Drosophila melanogaster: one gene and its partner. The protein of the gene in region 1 interacts with the protein of each later gene in a pairwise test. Each region holds a gene or a part of one and is shown on either strand. Other genes may lie near its edges.

Region 1 (10,020 bases):
AAAAGAGACAACAAACTTACGGTAAGCTGTAGTTAGGTTTTCTTTTTTTTTCTTATTATTTACCTTTTTTGTTGGCTTGGTTTGTAATTAAATGTCAAGCTAGACTTGCAAAATCATCGAGCGTCAGGAGGGGAAACCGGTTTCCTCGCTGGCTAGTTAACTTTATCATTTTTTACCCCATTTGTGTATGTCTATTTTGCATTTTAAATCGTGGTTTCTAAATGCAAATCGTAACATGAGGTTAATTATAAATTAATAAGAGAAAACACATGATCGGAAAATTCTATGGAATATTATGGATCCCATAAAAGGCTAACTAGGTAACTAGTAAACAAAGTCTTTGTGACGTCACCTTTTTGGGATTTACCACCGATGCGCTTATTGGCCAAAAAGCCCCGAAAACCATTCTGCTTTTCGGGAGATATGAGTAATCAAAACAAAATTCGATTTAAAAACATTTCGAAAAATAAGATACGTAAAAAAAGTATATTTTGTTGATAATACAGCATAATTATTTAAGCTATAGTTGCCGTCAAAGTTTTAACTGATAGTGCTAAGATATAAATTAAAACTATAGCTTATATTAGACTATATCCAATCAGTCATAATAATTGCGCAGGTGAATGGTACTTTTTAATGTTATTAATTTGTTACTTGCCAGTGTCAGGTTTAAATGTAATTAGTAACTAAACAAGTCTGAAATGTAAATTTTTTAGTTAATTTATTTCTCCTCATTATTAAATGATCTACTTTCCCTTTAGATGGAAGGCTGGTGTTGCTGCCACACTCAACTACATCGACATTAATTCGACGGAGAAGTCGCCAAAGCTGCATCCGTATCCCAGTTGGGAGGCCAACAAGCTGCCCATCGATGTGCAGCCACAGGACCAAAAGACACCATCCGGTGGACGTCTGGACGCGGACAAGGCTCAAGATGCCGGCATCCAGCTGAAGGACAACTCCACTGTCATTTCCACCTTCCGAATTCAAGTCGACGTATGCGATCGCCTGTGGGTGCTCGATACTGGCTTGGCCGACATCCTGGGCAGTCCCAAGCAGATTACGCCCAATTCAATCCTGGTTTTCGACTTGAAAACAGATACTTTACTGCGCCGTTTCACCATTCCCGCTGATCAGACCAAAGAGGACTCGTTCTTTGCGAATATTGTGAGTATGCATAGGCGTATTATTTAAATTCCAAACTGATCGAATTAATCAATATTTAGGTTGTGGATGCGGACCGCTCGGAGTGCCAAGATGCCTTTGCTTACATTCCGGATTTGGGTGCCTACGGTGTGATTGTGTACTCCCTGAGGAACGACAAATCCTACCGCGTCAAGCACAACTTCTTCCACTTCGATCCTCTGCATGGTGATTTCAATGTGGGCGGCGTGAACTTCCAGTGGACGGATGGCGTTTTTGGGCTGGCCGTGGGCCCAATGAATCCAGATCACTCCAAGGACATTTATTTCCATGCCCTGGCCAGTACCAAGGAGTTCAAGGTTTCGAACCGCGTGCTGCAAAACGAATCACACGTGACCGCTGGCGATTCGTATTACGATTTTAAATACGTTGGTGACCGTGGCATGAATGGCCAGTCCACCGCCGAGGTCTTTGACCCCGAGACCGGCGTCATCTTCTATACGCAGGTGAACAAAGACGCCATTGCTTGTTGGAACATCAAGCGTCCATACACTCCGGACACCCAGGGGCTAATCGATTCCGATTCGCACACTCTGGTCTTTCCAAATGACATGAAAATCGACAATGAAGGCACTATTTGGGTGCTGTCCGACAAGATGCCGACATATTTGTACAAGGAACTCGATCCCTCGGCCGTCAACTATCGTATTTTGATGGGCCAGAACCGCGATCTCATCAAGGGTACACCATGCGAAATGTGATCACTTGGATATTTAAATCTACATGCTGTGTTTATGACGCGGTGCATTTTTGTATTTACATTATGACATTATTGTTTGTTAGTAAGTCAGCTTAATAAACTATTTGAAATGTGATTGATTGGGTATACCATGGTGAGCCTAAGTTAAATGTCGGATTTCAGGAGGTTGTCGGCCAGTTGCACCTTCTCACCGGGCTTAAAGGCGGGCATGCCCAAATAGGGGCAAGTGGAGCAGCGGAAGGCGTCGCCGAGATAACACTGTGCATATAAGAAATCAGTTATAATCGAGGTTAATGCTAACTCACATCGGGGTTAAGAGAACTCACATTTCCACAGCTTGACTTGGCATTCTCGGTGGCCTTCTGGCTCTGTTTTTCAGTCTCCAATTCCTCGGCCAGCCCGCAGGAGCAGTTTTTGCACGCCTTGCGCTTGCCCGTGGTGCTACAGACACGCAGACCAGCCGGATCCGGCTTCTGTTTGTCTTCCTCGTCCAGCAGCTCCTCCTCATCGATCAGTTCCTCATCGTCACCGCTTATCTTCCACACATTGACTGCACTGGCGTTCTTCTTTGCGAATGACAACCTGGCTGAGGATCCTGTCTCGTAGCCAGGCTTCTCGGCGGTCAAAGCATCTGGAGAGTCCTCGCGACAGTTTATGAATCCGGATAGCTTGATCTCCTGCAGCAAACTAGCCGCCGGACCGATGTAGGACACCAAATGCAGTTTGCCACTCGGTTTCAGCATGTGCAGCAGTTTTACGTAACTGTCGGTCAGCTGGGCGCACTCGATCACAATCAGGTCGAAACTGGAGTTGGCATAGGAAGCTGTAATGCATAAACATCACTGATTTTAATCTGCTGACTCACTGGCTAGTCAAAAACAGCACACACACACCGCACCGCACGCAACTTACAAAACGAAAGGCGGTGCACATTTTCCAAAGCCACATCGCCGCCAGTGGCCGCCTTTAGTTGCTCCACGCGCTTGTCCAAGTCGGCGCTGTCCGTCCATATGTATAGGGATTTTTGTAGACCCTTAAAGTTCTCCATTGTGGATGTGTTTCTAGAATATCTCAAAAGTTCAAGCACCGAACGGAACCGATTTTTGATTTCACAAGTTAGATATGGCAATGCACCGAAAATCGAGCGGTGATATCGATTGTACCTGCCTATCGGATTGCAAATGATATTCAGTGATTGTAGATTTTTCCACTTTACACTGTGACTGCTAAAATATATGAATAACTAAGTGTACTCCACCAGATTCGTTTTTTAATGAGTTACAGCTTACATTCTGATACATAATTAACAGCTTTTAGTTGCATATTGTGTGTTTCTGCCACTAAACCTATTTAAACGGTTACATTTAAGCCTAAAGTCGCGAATTATCTTTTAAATTCACCCATGTGTACTTTCCCACGGCCCGTTTTAAAAATGCATGGACAGTTAGACAAGAAGGTTGGTAGTTTGTACCTTGAATTTTAAATGTGGGCGCTCAAAATCGAAGTGTTCAATGAAAATCGATACCTTTCGCATCAGTTAAAAGTATTTATAGATATAAGAAATAATATCTTTAACAGTGATGTGATGGGAATAAATATACAAATGTATTCAGAAACTGCAAAGTTAAAACAAAATATATTAGCTACTCCAAATTGGCTATAAAATAACCAAATGCCCACTGCCATCCAAATCCAACCAACAGTGCTGTGAAGCGACAAACATATCGCCGGTAGGCAGCGACTATCATAAATAAGCGCCTATCGGACTATCGATACAACATCAACATCCTCAGTCGCTTTTTTAGTTGTAGCATATTATAAATATAACTCGAGCGCTAGTTGCAGCCTTAAACAGAAGCCAGCCGCCACTACCGCTAGTCGCTAGTCAAGATCTGCTCGAAACGCTGAAATATGTGTGATTAGTCGTGAATCGCAGCTAGCCGCAAATCCAGCTTGAGCTACAACAACAAAGCCAATCCGCGGTTAAGAGGAAGAGAGTGCGTGAGAGAAACGACAGCTGCTCTGCGTGTGTGTTTGTGCAGCAGGATAACAAAATAGAAAACATACAGCAGCAACAACAACAACAAAAACAGCACCAGCGAACAGTGTATAAAGTGCCAAACGAATTTGCCAAATAGCCAAAAACGAAATAATAGAAAAGATCCAAACAAAATTCCAATAAGTTCAATGCAAGGAGACATGTGCATAAATGAAGAGCTACAGCCAATTTAATTTAAACGCCGCCGCCCCGCCCGCCATTGCCTACGAAACTACGGTTGTAAATCCCAACGGCTCACCCCTCGATCCTCACCAGCAGCAGCAACAACAGAGCCAGGATATGCCGCACTTTGGACTGCCCGGTCCGCAGCCGCCGTCGTCGCAGCAGCAGCAACAACAATTGCAAGTGCACCACCAACAGCAGCAGCAGCAGCAACAACAACAACAACAACAGCAGCATCAACAACAAATGCAGATGTCCTTGCTGCCGGGTCCTTACCGGCCACACATCGAGGAGAAGAAGCTCACGCGGGACGCCATGGAGAAGTACATGCGCGAGCGCAACGACATGGTCATCGTTATCCTGCACGCCAAGGTACGAAAGGATTTCCACTTTTAAGCCGGTATTATCAGGTGCTTGGTCTGGATTTAGTATTCAAGATATTCTAAAACATACAAGGGAACTCCTGAGTCTTAAGTCTTAATTAAATTATTTGAAGCTTGAAATACATTATTTCAATATTACTAAAAATATATTAACCCAAACTGGAGAAACGTAGGATATCCTAACTTTCATTTAAATTAGAAACTTGGTCAGTTTTGTACGTCGATTTCCTAAATTATTCGATTTTTTAGATTAAATAGATTAAATTCAGATTTTCTTTCTATTTCAAGTTTAACGATGTATCCTTTCTTTGAAAATTACTTGTATGCTTTACAAGATATTTATTTTTTTTTTATAATTTAGTTTTAATCTAATCGGTCAGTCCGCAACGCCAAAACCACACCCACTATTTAAAGGTGCTAGTGTTTCCATTGTCCACTTTAAAGTGTTACATTTTTGCGGTTTTTGGCGAACGCAGACATGAAAATGGAATAAAATTGTCGCGGTTGCTTTTAGCGGTGGCGATCTTCAAGCGACGACTGCCGCCAAATGGGAATCCTTCACACTCGACTGCCCGCAAATTGAGCAACGCGAGCGCGGTCCAGTCCGCAATGAAAATAATTGAAATTAATTACAGAAAATTAACAAAGCTGCATTGCTTGCGGTTTTGATATGATTTTCCGATAATCTGGACGGCAATTTGTACTAATTGAATTTTCCCTGCACCATCGTGCGCCTCTGTCTGTCTGTCTGTGTGAATTCCAGGTGGCCCAAAAGTCCTATGGCAATGAGAAGCGATTCTTTTGCCCACCGCCGTGCATTTATCTGTTCGGAAGTGGCTGGCGCCGGCGGTACGAGGAGATGTTGCAGCAGGGCGAGGGCGAACAGGGAGCACAACTATGCGCGTTCATCGGTATCGGGAGCAGTGACCAGGATATGCAGCAGCTGGATCTCAATGGCAAGCAGTACTGTGCGGCCAAGACGCTCTTCATCTCGGACTCGGACAAGCGAAAACACTTTATGCTGTCGGTGAAGATGTTTTACGGAAACGGTCATGACATTGGCGTTTTTAACTCGAAACGGATCAAGGTTATATCCAAGCCGTCCAAAAAGAAACAGTCGCTAAAGAATGCCGATCTGTGCATAGCCAGCGGCACCAATGTAGCCCTGTTCAATCGCCTGCGTTCCCAGACTGTCTCCACCCGTTACCTTCACGTGGAGAACGGACACTTTCATGCGTCGTCAACACAATGGGGAGCTTTTACGATACACCTGCTGGATGACAATGAGTCCGAGTCGGAGGAGTTTCAGGTGCGCGATGGTTACATTCATTACGGAGCCACAGTCAAACTGGTGTGCTCCGTAACGGGCATGGCCCTGCCACGTCTGATCATCCGGAAGGTAGACAAGCAGATGGCCCTGCTGGAAGCCGACGATCCCGTTTCTCAGCTGCACAAATGCGCCTTCTACATGAAGGATACGGATCGGATGTATCTCTGTTTGTCGCAGGAGAAAATCATACAGTTCCAGGCCACGCCGTGCCCCAAGGAGCCGAACAAGGAGATGATCAATGACGGCGCCTGCTGGACCATCATATCCACCGACAAGGCTGAGTACCAGTTCTACGAGGGCATGGGTCCTGTGGCGTAAGTATAGCTTACTTACAACTCAATGGATTAGTTTTCATTTCGTGTTTTCTTCCAGTTCTCCAGTCACTCCAGTGCCAATCGTTAATTCCCTTAATCTCAATGGCGGCGGGGATGTGGCCATGCTAGAGCTGAGTGGCGACAACTTTACGCCGCATCTGCAGGTGTGGTTTGGCGATGTGGAGGCGGAAACCATGTACCGCTGCACAGAGACATTGCTATGCGTGGTGCCGGAGATTTCACAATTTCGAGGCGAATGGCTTTGGGTAGGTTTTCCAATGTAAATCTGTTTAATACGCGCTATAAATTTTACTTTTAATGGTCCTTGCAGGTACGTCAGCCCACGCAGGTGCCCATTTCGCTGGTGCGCAACGATGGAATAATTTATGCCACCGGTCTGACCTTCACGTATACACCTGAACCAGGTCCTCGGCCGCACTGCAATACACAGGCCGAGGATGTGATGCGAGCGCGACAGAACAATAACAATAATAACATCACTAGCATTAGCAACAATAATAACAGCAACAATGCGGGATCGCCGGCAGCCGGCGGTGGCTTGCAACAACAACAGCAGCAGCATCAGGCTCTGCCCTCCATCTCAGAAGTGCAATGGAATAGTCATGGTAGCGGCTTATCCTGAGTGCAGGATTATTGCATCGCACACATATGTATCCTAAGTTATTTATAGTTTTTATCGAAGACCTTAGTTTGTAGATTGACAATTTTTCTCATACTAATTTTCAACCCCTCGTGACGTAAACCAAAATGTGTCCCCTTCTCTCTAAAGTGAATCATACTTTACACATGTATCTAGTGCTAGTTCGGAACCAATAGAATTGTAAATGACACATAAAACTCTGTACATAACTCGAAAAGCTCACTGACATACATACATACATTTGTATGTGCATGAATATACCTTTACACAAAACATGTAATTCTAGTTAAATATACAATTGATGTAAGTTTATAGACGATTTTTAGATGCGGTTGAAATATTTATGATTTTCTTTGCTATGAATTTCCAAAGATCTAAATGAAAAAAAAAAATACTGCGAAATGCATCGGAAATTTTTATTATACACAAGCCAGTAGCCACGCTACAAAAACATTCCATTTCCCTCTTTAGCTTTCTAAAAAGTCGAAGACAAAGTCAAAAAGGGAAAAATTTGTTTCTGTACATACAGTTTTGTTGCATTTTTTTATTAACTTTGGAAATTCGTAGCATTAAAAATCCCAATAAAATATTTTGTAAAATAAAATCGCAACAAGACAAAACAGCGATTTATTTAAGTGTAAGCGAAATGCCTAACATAAATAAAAAAAAGAAATCCCAAATGATGACAAAGAATAATCAAATCATGTCAGCTTATGTTTTTGGTTTAGCGTGATTCTTCTGGTTCACCATTTTTCCTGTGGCCTAAGGTGGAGCGCTGGGGAGGATTGGTTGCCTTAAATTGCTGTGGGAATATTACCCAGTATCGTGTGAATATTTTTAAACAAAACAAGTGCAGCTCTTCCCACGATGGTTTGCCTCAACCCCCTCGGACGGGCCGACTTTAATTATAGTTTGGTCTGGAATTGCTGAACGCGAAGCTAAGAAGCAAATATACATAGATATATAACACTATTGTTTCCGTTTTGGCCAAGTTAAGGAGCAGAATATTCTCACAGCCCAAAAAGCCGCTGCCGAGCTGCTGTGAGAATTTTTACTGCCTTTGTTGAATATTTATGCATTCGTTGCTGCTGCTGTCTTTACAGATTTACAAATTAAGATTCGCAGTTTTGAATTAATTATCGCTCACTTCCGCTCGACGGAATCAGAAGGTGAGCGCTGGCCAAGCATTTAATCTCATCTTGCACTTGGGAGACATATTTCTTATCAGAGTCAGCCAATAGGAACTTGGCTGCAACCCCTAAGATTTTACTGCACCGGGCGATGGGAACGAAAGACTTAAACAACGAACTTTGGTTGCGTGAGGAATCAAACTACTGGCGGCCGCCTGTGTTCATTATGATGGAAAAACCACCACCAAAAGTTCTGGCTCTGGCAATTGGAACTGCAACCTCTTAAGGTCGTCGCCGTCTTATAAGAAGCTGAATATGAAATTAGTTTGGAATTTTTAATGAACAATTCCTTCACATTTCCCCAGGCCCTCTTTCTCCACCACTGTTTGGATAGGCGAGTGCGATGATTGTGGTCGTTTTTAGAAAGGGGGAGACAGCAATTTCTAAAAGTTCTCAGGACTGCTACACAACCTCATACCGTCTACTAAAAAAGTTCATTATCTTGAAAAATCTAAGTCTACCTGCCGTCGTCTTTAGTCTTTAGCTTGCCGTGCCGACTGCTGCCGTTTTTCACACGCTGGGGAAAAATGGAAATTCTCGCAAAATACAATGCGTGGGAAATCGGTGGCGTGGGAGTCAGGCAAGAAAATCAAGGGAAACTATATAATCCAGTCCTATAAAAATTTGTATTCACAAGACTTTGGACACGTACTCCCTTCCATGCGCGGTAAATCCAAAGCCGTAGGTCAAGATTGGTAAATCGATGGCAAAATCGATCGGATTTTCAAAGTTTATAGGGGTCGGTCGTAACCGTTACTTCAACTTGTTTAGTTCCATTGTTGTTACTTAACAAAGATATTTATATAAGACTAATTATTTTATTTATTAATGACTTTAATGAACTATTAACACTTGTGCTTACACAGCATTTTTTGTCTAAAATAGATTGGTTTGTTCTATACGAACCCATTTTCAAGACTTGTCACAAGCATTTGTTCAAGTTAAGTGTTATTAAGTGTCCAAAGTTCGTTTGTTTGTTTCTAAACGAAATGAACTTAAGACATTTAACTACGTGTTTGCACGTTTGTTTGTGTCCGAAGTATAATTTTCTAACCGTTGATCGAAATGAAATTTGCATTAATCCAGGTCAATGAGATGACCTTACCTTCCATCCGATTCTATTAAAAAGACCACATAATTTGTATATAATTTATTAAATAATTGAACATTTCTATGTATTTGATACAAAACGTCATCAGTACAGATATGCAGTTAGGATATACAAAGATATAGATGCAATATGTGTAGATACAAATGCTTATCTAAAAATATGTAAGACCTTTTCTTCATACAAAAACATTGTATTTAATAATTTAACCGGAATGTGCCATAAGAATACCTAAACGTGTAATTGCAAAAATTTATACAAATACAAATACTAAAAACAAAAGTTGCAAGTTGGTTTGGTATAATCGATAGCTGAACAAGACCAAAATTGGAATGAATTCTCTGGGAAGGGAATGCAATTGGAATAAAGGGAGGTGGGTATTAAGTATGATTTAAATCTATAAAGTACTAGGCTTTTATAAGTTATTGCAATTGTAATTTATAATTATTATAAATATTTTGCGTTATGTGTAGGTTTTACTAGTTGGCTCGAATGGTTCGATTTTTGTTCATATTGGTCAACATCAACGAGATATATGAAGTCAGCAGATCGTCCATCTTGTAGCCCAGCGACGTTTCACATAACAATTTCGAGCCCCTAACCAGATTTCCGATGGTCATGTGGAAATATGTATTGCCCGATGACCAATTCGAGATGCGTGTAAATGGATGCGTAACCAAAATGTCCTGAAGTTTTAAAATGTATCATGTTCTTGGTTTATATTGTAATAGATTTATATAGTTTATAGTTCTCACCTTGGTCACTGGATGTATGAGACTCACGCCGTGTTTGTTAATGGCTATCAATAGCATTTCGGGATAATTCGGTTCGGTGGTTTGCTTCACCTCAAAGAAAGCGGAGCCAAAAGTTGGCCATCTGTTCAAATATATTAGAAAGGTAGTTAAAAAAA
Region 2 (6,863 bases), on another chromosome or scaffold:
GTTGTAGATGCTATAGGCGTTGAGCACATTGAATAGCGAGCACTGCTTTACGCTGTAGCGCTCGCGAAAGGCAAGATTGTCGCGAAACTGACGATTCACATCGGCATCGATTTGTCGCGTCTCCGTGGAGTACTTCCTGGCCAGCTGCAGCATTCGGAGGTAGACGCCAGCATTGTTGTTTATCGATTGCTGGATGTCGAGCAGCTTATTCCAGGCCACCATACGCACGCGATCCGGTATGCCCTTGTAGACGCGCTTGTGCAGCTTATCCTGGGGCGGCGGCCACTGATTTAGCATCTTCATCCACTTTTTGTCCCGCTCCATTTCAATCTTGTTGCGATGCACCTCCTGGGCATCACGCGTCGACGGCAGCCGCGAGTCGTGCAAGAAGCCATATCTGTGGGAGCATCAATGGCATTATTGGGATTTTTTCTGGCGAATGATTAATATTACTCACTTGTCTGTCCTGTGGTAGATCTCGAAGGTGGGATTCTCCCAGGAGTCCACCACATTGCTGGGATCCAGCCCGAGTTCGTAGCGCCGGAAGATGTCCTCGCGCTCGTCCTCGGCCCGCTTGACCAGCGCCTCCTGCTGTTCGCCGTCAGTCATTTGGAGCAGGATCAGGATTTGGCGGGTGGGGGAGGGGATCGGGGACAGGAGCAGGAGCCGGATCCGGAGGAGCAAGTGGCCAGAGCTGGTTTCTCTGTGCTCTCAGTTGGGGAGCGGCTGCTTCTGAGCTGACTGGGCGATAGCGCGAAACTTTGATAAAAAAAAAATGGAATGGAAAAAATAACACACAAAAGCATTAACATGCGAAAGCGATCCACAATAACAACACTCGTATACTATATAGCTGATGAGCGAATGACGCACACGAACATTAACTATTGTATATATATATATATATATTCAAATGCAGTGAAATCAACATGATCTTTGTTTTTGGAGAAGGAGCGTGGCATAAATGACGTGATGTTTCACCCATATTTAGTGCAGCATCAAAACATAAAGCCATATAAGACTTGGTCACTGATCTAGAAAAACGCCCCCTGATCTGCGTTGTGTGAGTGTGAGTGGGCCAGAAATGTGTGGATCTGCATGCGCCCCCGGGTTTTTGTCGCCTATTTTAATGCGAAATGTGCAATCTTATGCTTTATCGTTCGTACACTTCCTGTTTTCGCTGCGATTTGTTGTATTTTGTCAACACAGACACATACGCACACACGTAACACACACACACACAGACGCTCCGACGAAAGAGAGTGTTCTGGCTTTCACTGGCCACTCTCTCCGCGTTCCTATGGTTGAGTTTAATTAATCGCGCCGACGTTCGTTTACCATTTAATTTTGAATTGCCAATTCTTATTATCCGCACTGATCGGTTATGTTTGGTAACTAGTTTTTCACTATTTTATCTCGGCTGCATGTTTCCGATACATTTGGGGGGCGACTGAGTGTGTGTGAGGGCCAGAGTTGCCAGACTGATGTAATTGCCGAATAACGTAACGTAACAAGAGTACCAGGGATGCGAGCCAATATTTAAGCGATACTTTAGCGTAATGTTATACGAGTTTAAATTTTAGTTGAAATGTTTGTGATGTCAATGTACAAATATGTAAAATGTTTATCTATTTAAAGCTGCAAATGAATGCTCATTTATAAATATTTAACAATGATATTTATTTACTTATTATTTAAAACCTATTCAGTTACTTAATTGCGACAAGTGGCACTTAATGAATTAAAACATTTGTGGAAAACATTTTCACTTCAAAATTTATTTCTTGATAACAAAATCGGCTTTTTAATTCAAATATAATTTTTGTGACTAAATAAGCAGTGCTGCCATACATTCAACTGGAAAACATCGTCAGCAACAGAAGGATAAGTAATCGCTTGATCGATAGCGTTATCGATGTTTTCCCAGCCATCGTTCCACCACTAGCGCCTCTCAAAACAACAAAAAAACAGCGGCAGTCGGACGCGGTTTTTATCATCGAGCGCGGTTTCTTTGTTTTAGCGCTCGAAAATTGTCGAGAACTCTCGTAAAAAATACACTGTACCAAATAACTAAGGAGTGCATGCTAATTGAACAAGCAAATGAATTAAGGTGTATATCAAAGTGAAAAGAAGTCAAACATAACCGATTTTGTTGGCGGCTTTCTTTTATTTTTGTTGAGATACCGTGTTTAATTTCTCCAGTTTTATGCAAACACATGAATAACATAACAGTGGAAATTTCTAAGAGTGCATTGTGAGATAAAAGTAAGCAAATAATTAATATTATGTTTAACATAAAATGCAACCCTCAACAGCGTCCTTTTTAAAGGTGTGCGTTTATATATATATATATATATATATATATATATATATATGTGTGTTTGTGTGTGCGTGTGAGTGATTGTGGATTTTGTGATGCAAAAGAAAATTGCCGCGTGTAAATTTTTGATTTTCAATTCGAGACGAGCAGAGGATTTTTAAACTGCAGCTCTAGCATTTACCGTTAGGGCAAGAGTAAACACATTCAACATGTTGCAGTCACTAAAAACTAAAACAAAAGCAAAGCGGATCACTCTCTTTCTCATTCTCTCATTCGCTCTCTTTGAGTTATAAGTGTTTTTGCCGTGTTTTGTTTTGATTTTTGCACATACACGAAGACATCGAGAGAGGAGAGCGGAGAGTTTCTGCTCTTTTGATTGTTGTTGCATTGGCCAGCTAATAAAATTGTGCCGTTCTTGTTGTTGTTGCAGTTGGATTAAAATTCAAAGCATTGGATAAATGCTAAGTTGAAATAACAACAGTAATAACAAATGGAAAATAGCAAATAGCAAATCAAAGGAAATCAAAATCAAGTTGGATTATCAGCACAGCTTCTGGGTAAGTAAGTTAAGTCTCTTATCGCCTAATTAGTTTATAGCGTTTTAGTTTCGTGTGGGTGGCTTTTTGCATTTCAAAACCAGTTCTATTTCGGGTTTTCATATGCCTTTTTTTCTCTTCTCATGTTGATAAGACCTTGAAGCGCTTTTCGTGTAGAACTTCGCATGATTGATGTTTTTATGTTTGAGGGGAGCTTGAGTCAAAGCTCGGCTTTTAAAAATGGATCAAGACCAGTTTTTCGAGGCTTTGGAATTGCCAAATAATTTCCTAAGCCCAAACTGCAGTTTGTTGTGGTTGTTGCTATTGCTTTTGCTTGCATCGCCTAGAAAATGATGGATGCACACACCTCTCGCTCTACCCTTGCCGTCCCTTTCGCACATCCAGAAGTTGTCGGTTGAGTTTTTATGGCCGTCTCTTTTGTCTCTCCATTTATTTGCCTTTGTCTTTGGACTGATGACTTTGTTTTTGCCCTGTCTTTGATTCTTTCTTTCTCTCTCTCTGCTTCTTCTTCAACGTTGATCCTTTGATTTCGTTTGATCCTTGTAGGTAGAAAAGATTGAGTGTGGGAGAGATCTACCGTTGTTTCGTTACTTCAATCTATAAGATACTAGAATTTTCTTTTTTAAAACCAATTCGAGAAATATTTCAATATATATTTTTGGGGAAAGAAGAATTTTAATTCTTTCGAATATTAAAGAGTTTTTTAAGATTGATTTATAAATTTCTTTTGGATCTTATTATTTGTATTTTGTATACGAAACATTCCATCTTATATTATTATCGTTAGTTTTTTGTAACTCCAAAAATCAAAATAAATATTCAAATAAAGAATTCTGTATTGCCTTTTGTTTTAATGCCATTATGCAATATATGCATTTATTGCTTAAATATTTTTAAAATTATTAACAGCATTCAGCTTATGTCTTTTGAACATTCTCCTTACCAATATCAGATGCATTCCAACCGAAATGCGACGAAGGGCATGCATTTAAACACAATACCTGGCATACTCGACATTTTAAATGCTTTTCATCACTTGATAAACAGTATTATTTGCCTTTCCTTTTTTTTTTTTTACATACATGTATCTCCCTCTGTTCGCCGCCGTTTGTTTTGCCCCCGTCTTCGCATATGTACGTCTTCGAGTGGTCTAACATGTAATGTATGCCTCGTCTTTAGTTTCTTGTTCGTTTCGTCTTTGAGACACCGGAAGTTGTTGCTAGGCTGAAAAAGTTGTGTGTGTTTTTCAGCAGTGTCTCCAGCTGTATCTTTATCTCCCTCTGGAGCCGTATATCCATCTCTATCGACGAGCAAGTGGCGCGTGTGAATGACCCAATTAAGCTGAAGATAACCCGGCCTAAGCTTCGACTTCGTAGGTGGCTTAAAACAACTCGGTTGGCCAAGAAGAAGCAGCCCCAGAACCTGCCAGACGAACATACCTACTATGGCACAACAAAAAAGAGTTCACATCGAATATATCGAATGCGAAGTTTGAACTGTAAACAGGTTTACTTGGCCTCACCTCGCTTCGTCTGCTGCAGTTGGCTGCTACAGGTTTGCCTCCGTATCGCGAACTGCGCGCCATGGAATTTCCTGTATTCATTCATTTTTGAATCCATATAACATAAGCCTTATTTCACTTAAGTTAAAAAACTACAATAAGAAGAAAATAAATGCATACCATTTCAATCTTAAAATTCTTGAAATAAAAAAAATTTCATTCCGGGTGTGAATTTGTGGATTTGATTAAATAAAAAATAACTGTAGTATATATATGTTGATGTTGAAATTTTTAAAAGCTCCTCCATTACTTTCTCCATTTAAGAAACAGGGTAATGTTTTTCTAAGGTCAGCTTATGCAAAGAATAACATATGCAGTAATCCCAGTTTAAGTTATCAACATTTCACTGTACATGGTTTAGTGTGGTGCTTTATTTTGTCAGGCCAAACTCCTTTTCAACATTTTTGTATTAAATATTTCGCACCATGTTCTGCATTTATTCGGATACGAGAGATCTCCCGAGGCTCCAGTCTTCAACTCCATCTCCTTCTGTGCGTCTGCCATCTCTGTTCGACGCTCTAATGCCGTCCTTTTCTGTGGCATATTTTGTCGTTGAGTCAGTTGGGGTCAATGCTGCTGCTCAACTTAACTCTTTGCTCACTCAACTCACTTTGCTCGATGGCCAAAACAGGTTTCCGCTTTGGCTGAGCTTTTGTTGTACGCTTGTTTTTTCGGGTTTTTCTCCTGTGCAGCAGCGCGGCCTCACCCACAGTTTGCTGTTTTATTTTTCGTTTCGTGTGCTTGGGCTTTGGGCCCAATACCCAATATATCTGGAATCCCAACCCTCGAGTGAAACATCCCTGCTGCCGCAAAACAGCCCTCAAAAGCGGGCAATCGCAACCTGAGACACTGGGAATGCGAGTGCAGATGGAACTTGGGAATCGTATTTTGGGGAGGGGTGTTGACGATGGGACTCTTTCGGATGGCGCTGCAGCTGGAGCTGTGTCTGTGGCTGGATAGTCCGGGCTATCCCGAAAGTGGATGCCCCATTCCAGGTGTTCGGTCGCTGCATTGTAGCAGGCGCTCAGCTGCATTCACCGCACGATTGTGTGCAGTGGCCGCATGTTGCAAGTTGTTGCACCAGCAACACTCAAGCGAATCTTTCGCGAAAGCCCGAGACGCAGGCACAGACGATGGCGACGGCGACTGGCATTTCTGCACCGGTTTTCCAGCCATTTTCCCCCATTCGCATTGGCCGCCTATGCTTTCTTCCTTATCGCCTGTTTCGCTGCTGCCACAACTTGCTGCTGTTGCCGCTGTACATGTTGCCGCTGTTGCTGCCACTGCATCTCTGGCTGCTGCTGCGCTGCTGTAAATGTTGCCGCGAATGTTGCTGCCGCGGCAACATTCGTGGTGCCAGCTGCACTTGCTACTTCGACCAAAGTTGCGGATATCAATTTACTTAAGCATTTGTGGCTCCTGGTACTGAAAGTTTTATTTGAAATTGATAGCCGGGAAATATATATGCGCATTTCTTCAAATCGCAGTATTCATTTCGTATAAGGTTAGGATTTGTTTCTTGTTTTTCTACGTTCGTAACCATGTAATATAATTAATAATATTTACAAGCACGTCGATATCAATTGAAACGATACCATAAAATAAAAGGATTACTTTACAAAAGAAAACCTATTAATAAAACCTATTCAACTCAAGTTAAAACTGTAAGATCACACACGTTCTTGTGTATAAAGTAATCTTGAGAGGTTTTTGAACATGAGGCATCGCACCCATTTTGGAACCAATCGCATACAGTGCGATCAAGCAGACTCCAGTGGCTTGTGGACCGGGTGTGTTTGCTTTTGCCTTAATCAGCAGAAAATCATATGCGAAATGTACGATACAGATGTGCCCATATACACATCTAGCTATAGCACTCTTTATGTAGAGCCCCTCTAGCTCTAGAGTCTAGACTCTAAAGTCTAGACCACATAAACGCGTATCGATGGCGACGAAATGTGTACATCGCACATGAACGAACGGGGCGAGTGAGTATGTACAGTTTAAGAGAGCGAGGCAATATGAAATATAAACAAATAATTAACTGACATATCCGTATGCTTATCGCGCAACAAACCGCAGCAGCAGCAGCAGCAGCAACAACAGGGGCAACAGCAACGGCAGAAGCACAGATACAGATACATCAGATACAGATACGGACACGGATTCAGATACAGGCACACTTTCGGGGCGAGAGCGACTCTGAAATTTGTTTCTGACAAAATGCCATAATGAACGTGCTGAGTGGCGTCGCGGAACCAGATACTCATGACCAGATACTCGTACGTCCACGTCCGAAAAACCCGAGAGATACTCTCGTACTCGTACTCGTACTCGTATTTGTACTTGCTCGTCGTTTTCCGTTGTACTTGCGTCGCGGCAGCGGCAACAACATGAACAGAATGTATCTACAACATCAAACGTG

Evidence for each region. Proteins that work in one complex are often made in the same cells at the same time.
Region 2: the proteins of Su(H) (region 1) and mam interact in a two-hybrid assay, tested with the Drosophila melanogaster proteins (6 studies listed by BioGRID).

Annotation. Positions count from the first base shown.
Region 1 is NT_033779.5:15,035,825-15,045,844, forward strand, and holds Su(H) (suppressor of hairless), read left to right. Parts: upstream 1-3,663; 5' UTR 3,664-4,112; coding exon 4,113-4,496; intron 4,497-5,270; coding exon 5,271-6,151; intron 6,152-6,209; coding exon 6,210-6,417; intron 6,418-6,482; coding exon 6,483-6,794; 3' UTR 6,795-7,510; downstream 7,511-10,020. Other genes in the region: yellow-c, read left to right, coding at 762-1,167, 1,227-1,904; CIAPIN1 (cytokine induced apoptosis inhibitor 1), read right to left, coding at 2,048-2,161, 2,230-2,726, 2,816-2,951; ck (crinkled), read right to left, coding at 9,590-9,796, 9,866-9,986. UniProt on the Drosophila melanogaster protein: Transcriptional regulator that plays a central role in Notch signaling, a signaling pathway involved in cell-cell communication that regulates a broad spectrum of cell-fate determinations.
Region 2 is NT_033778.4:13,989,228-13,996,090, forward strand, and holds the start of mam (mastermind), read left to right. Parts: upstream 1-1,975; 5' UTR 1,976-2,265; intron 2,266-2,750; 5' UTR 2,751-2,877; intron 2,878-6,863. Other genes in the region: RN-tre (uncharacterized protein), read right to left, coding at 1-397, 458-609.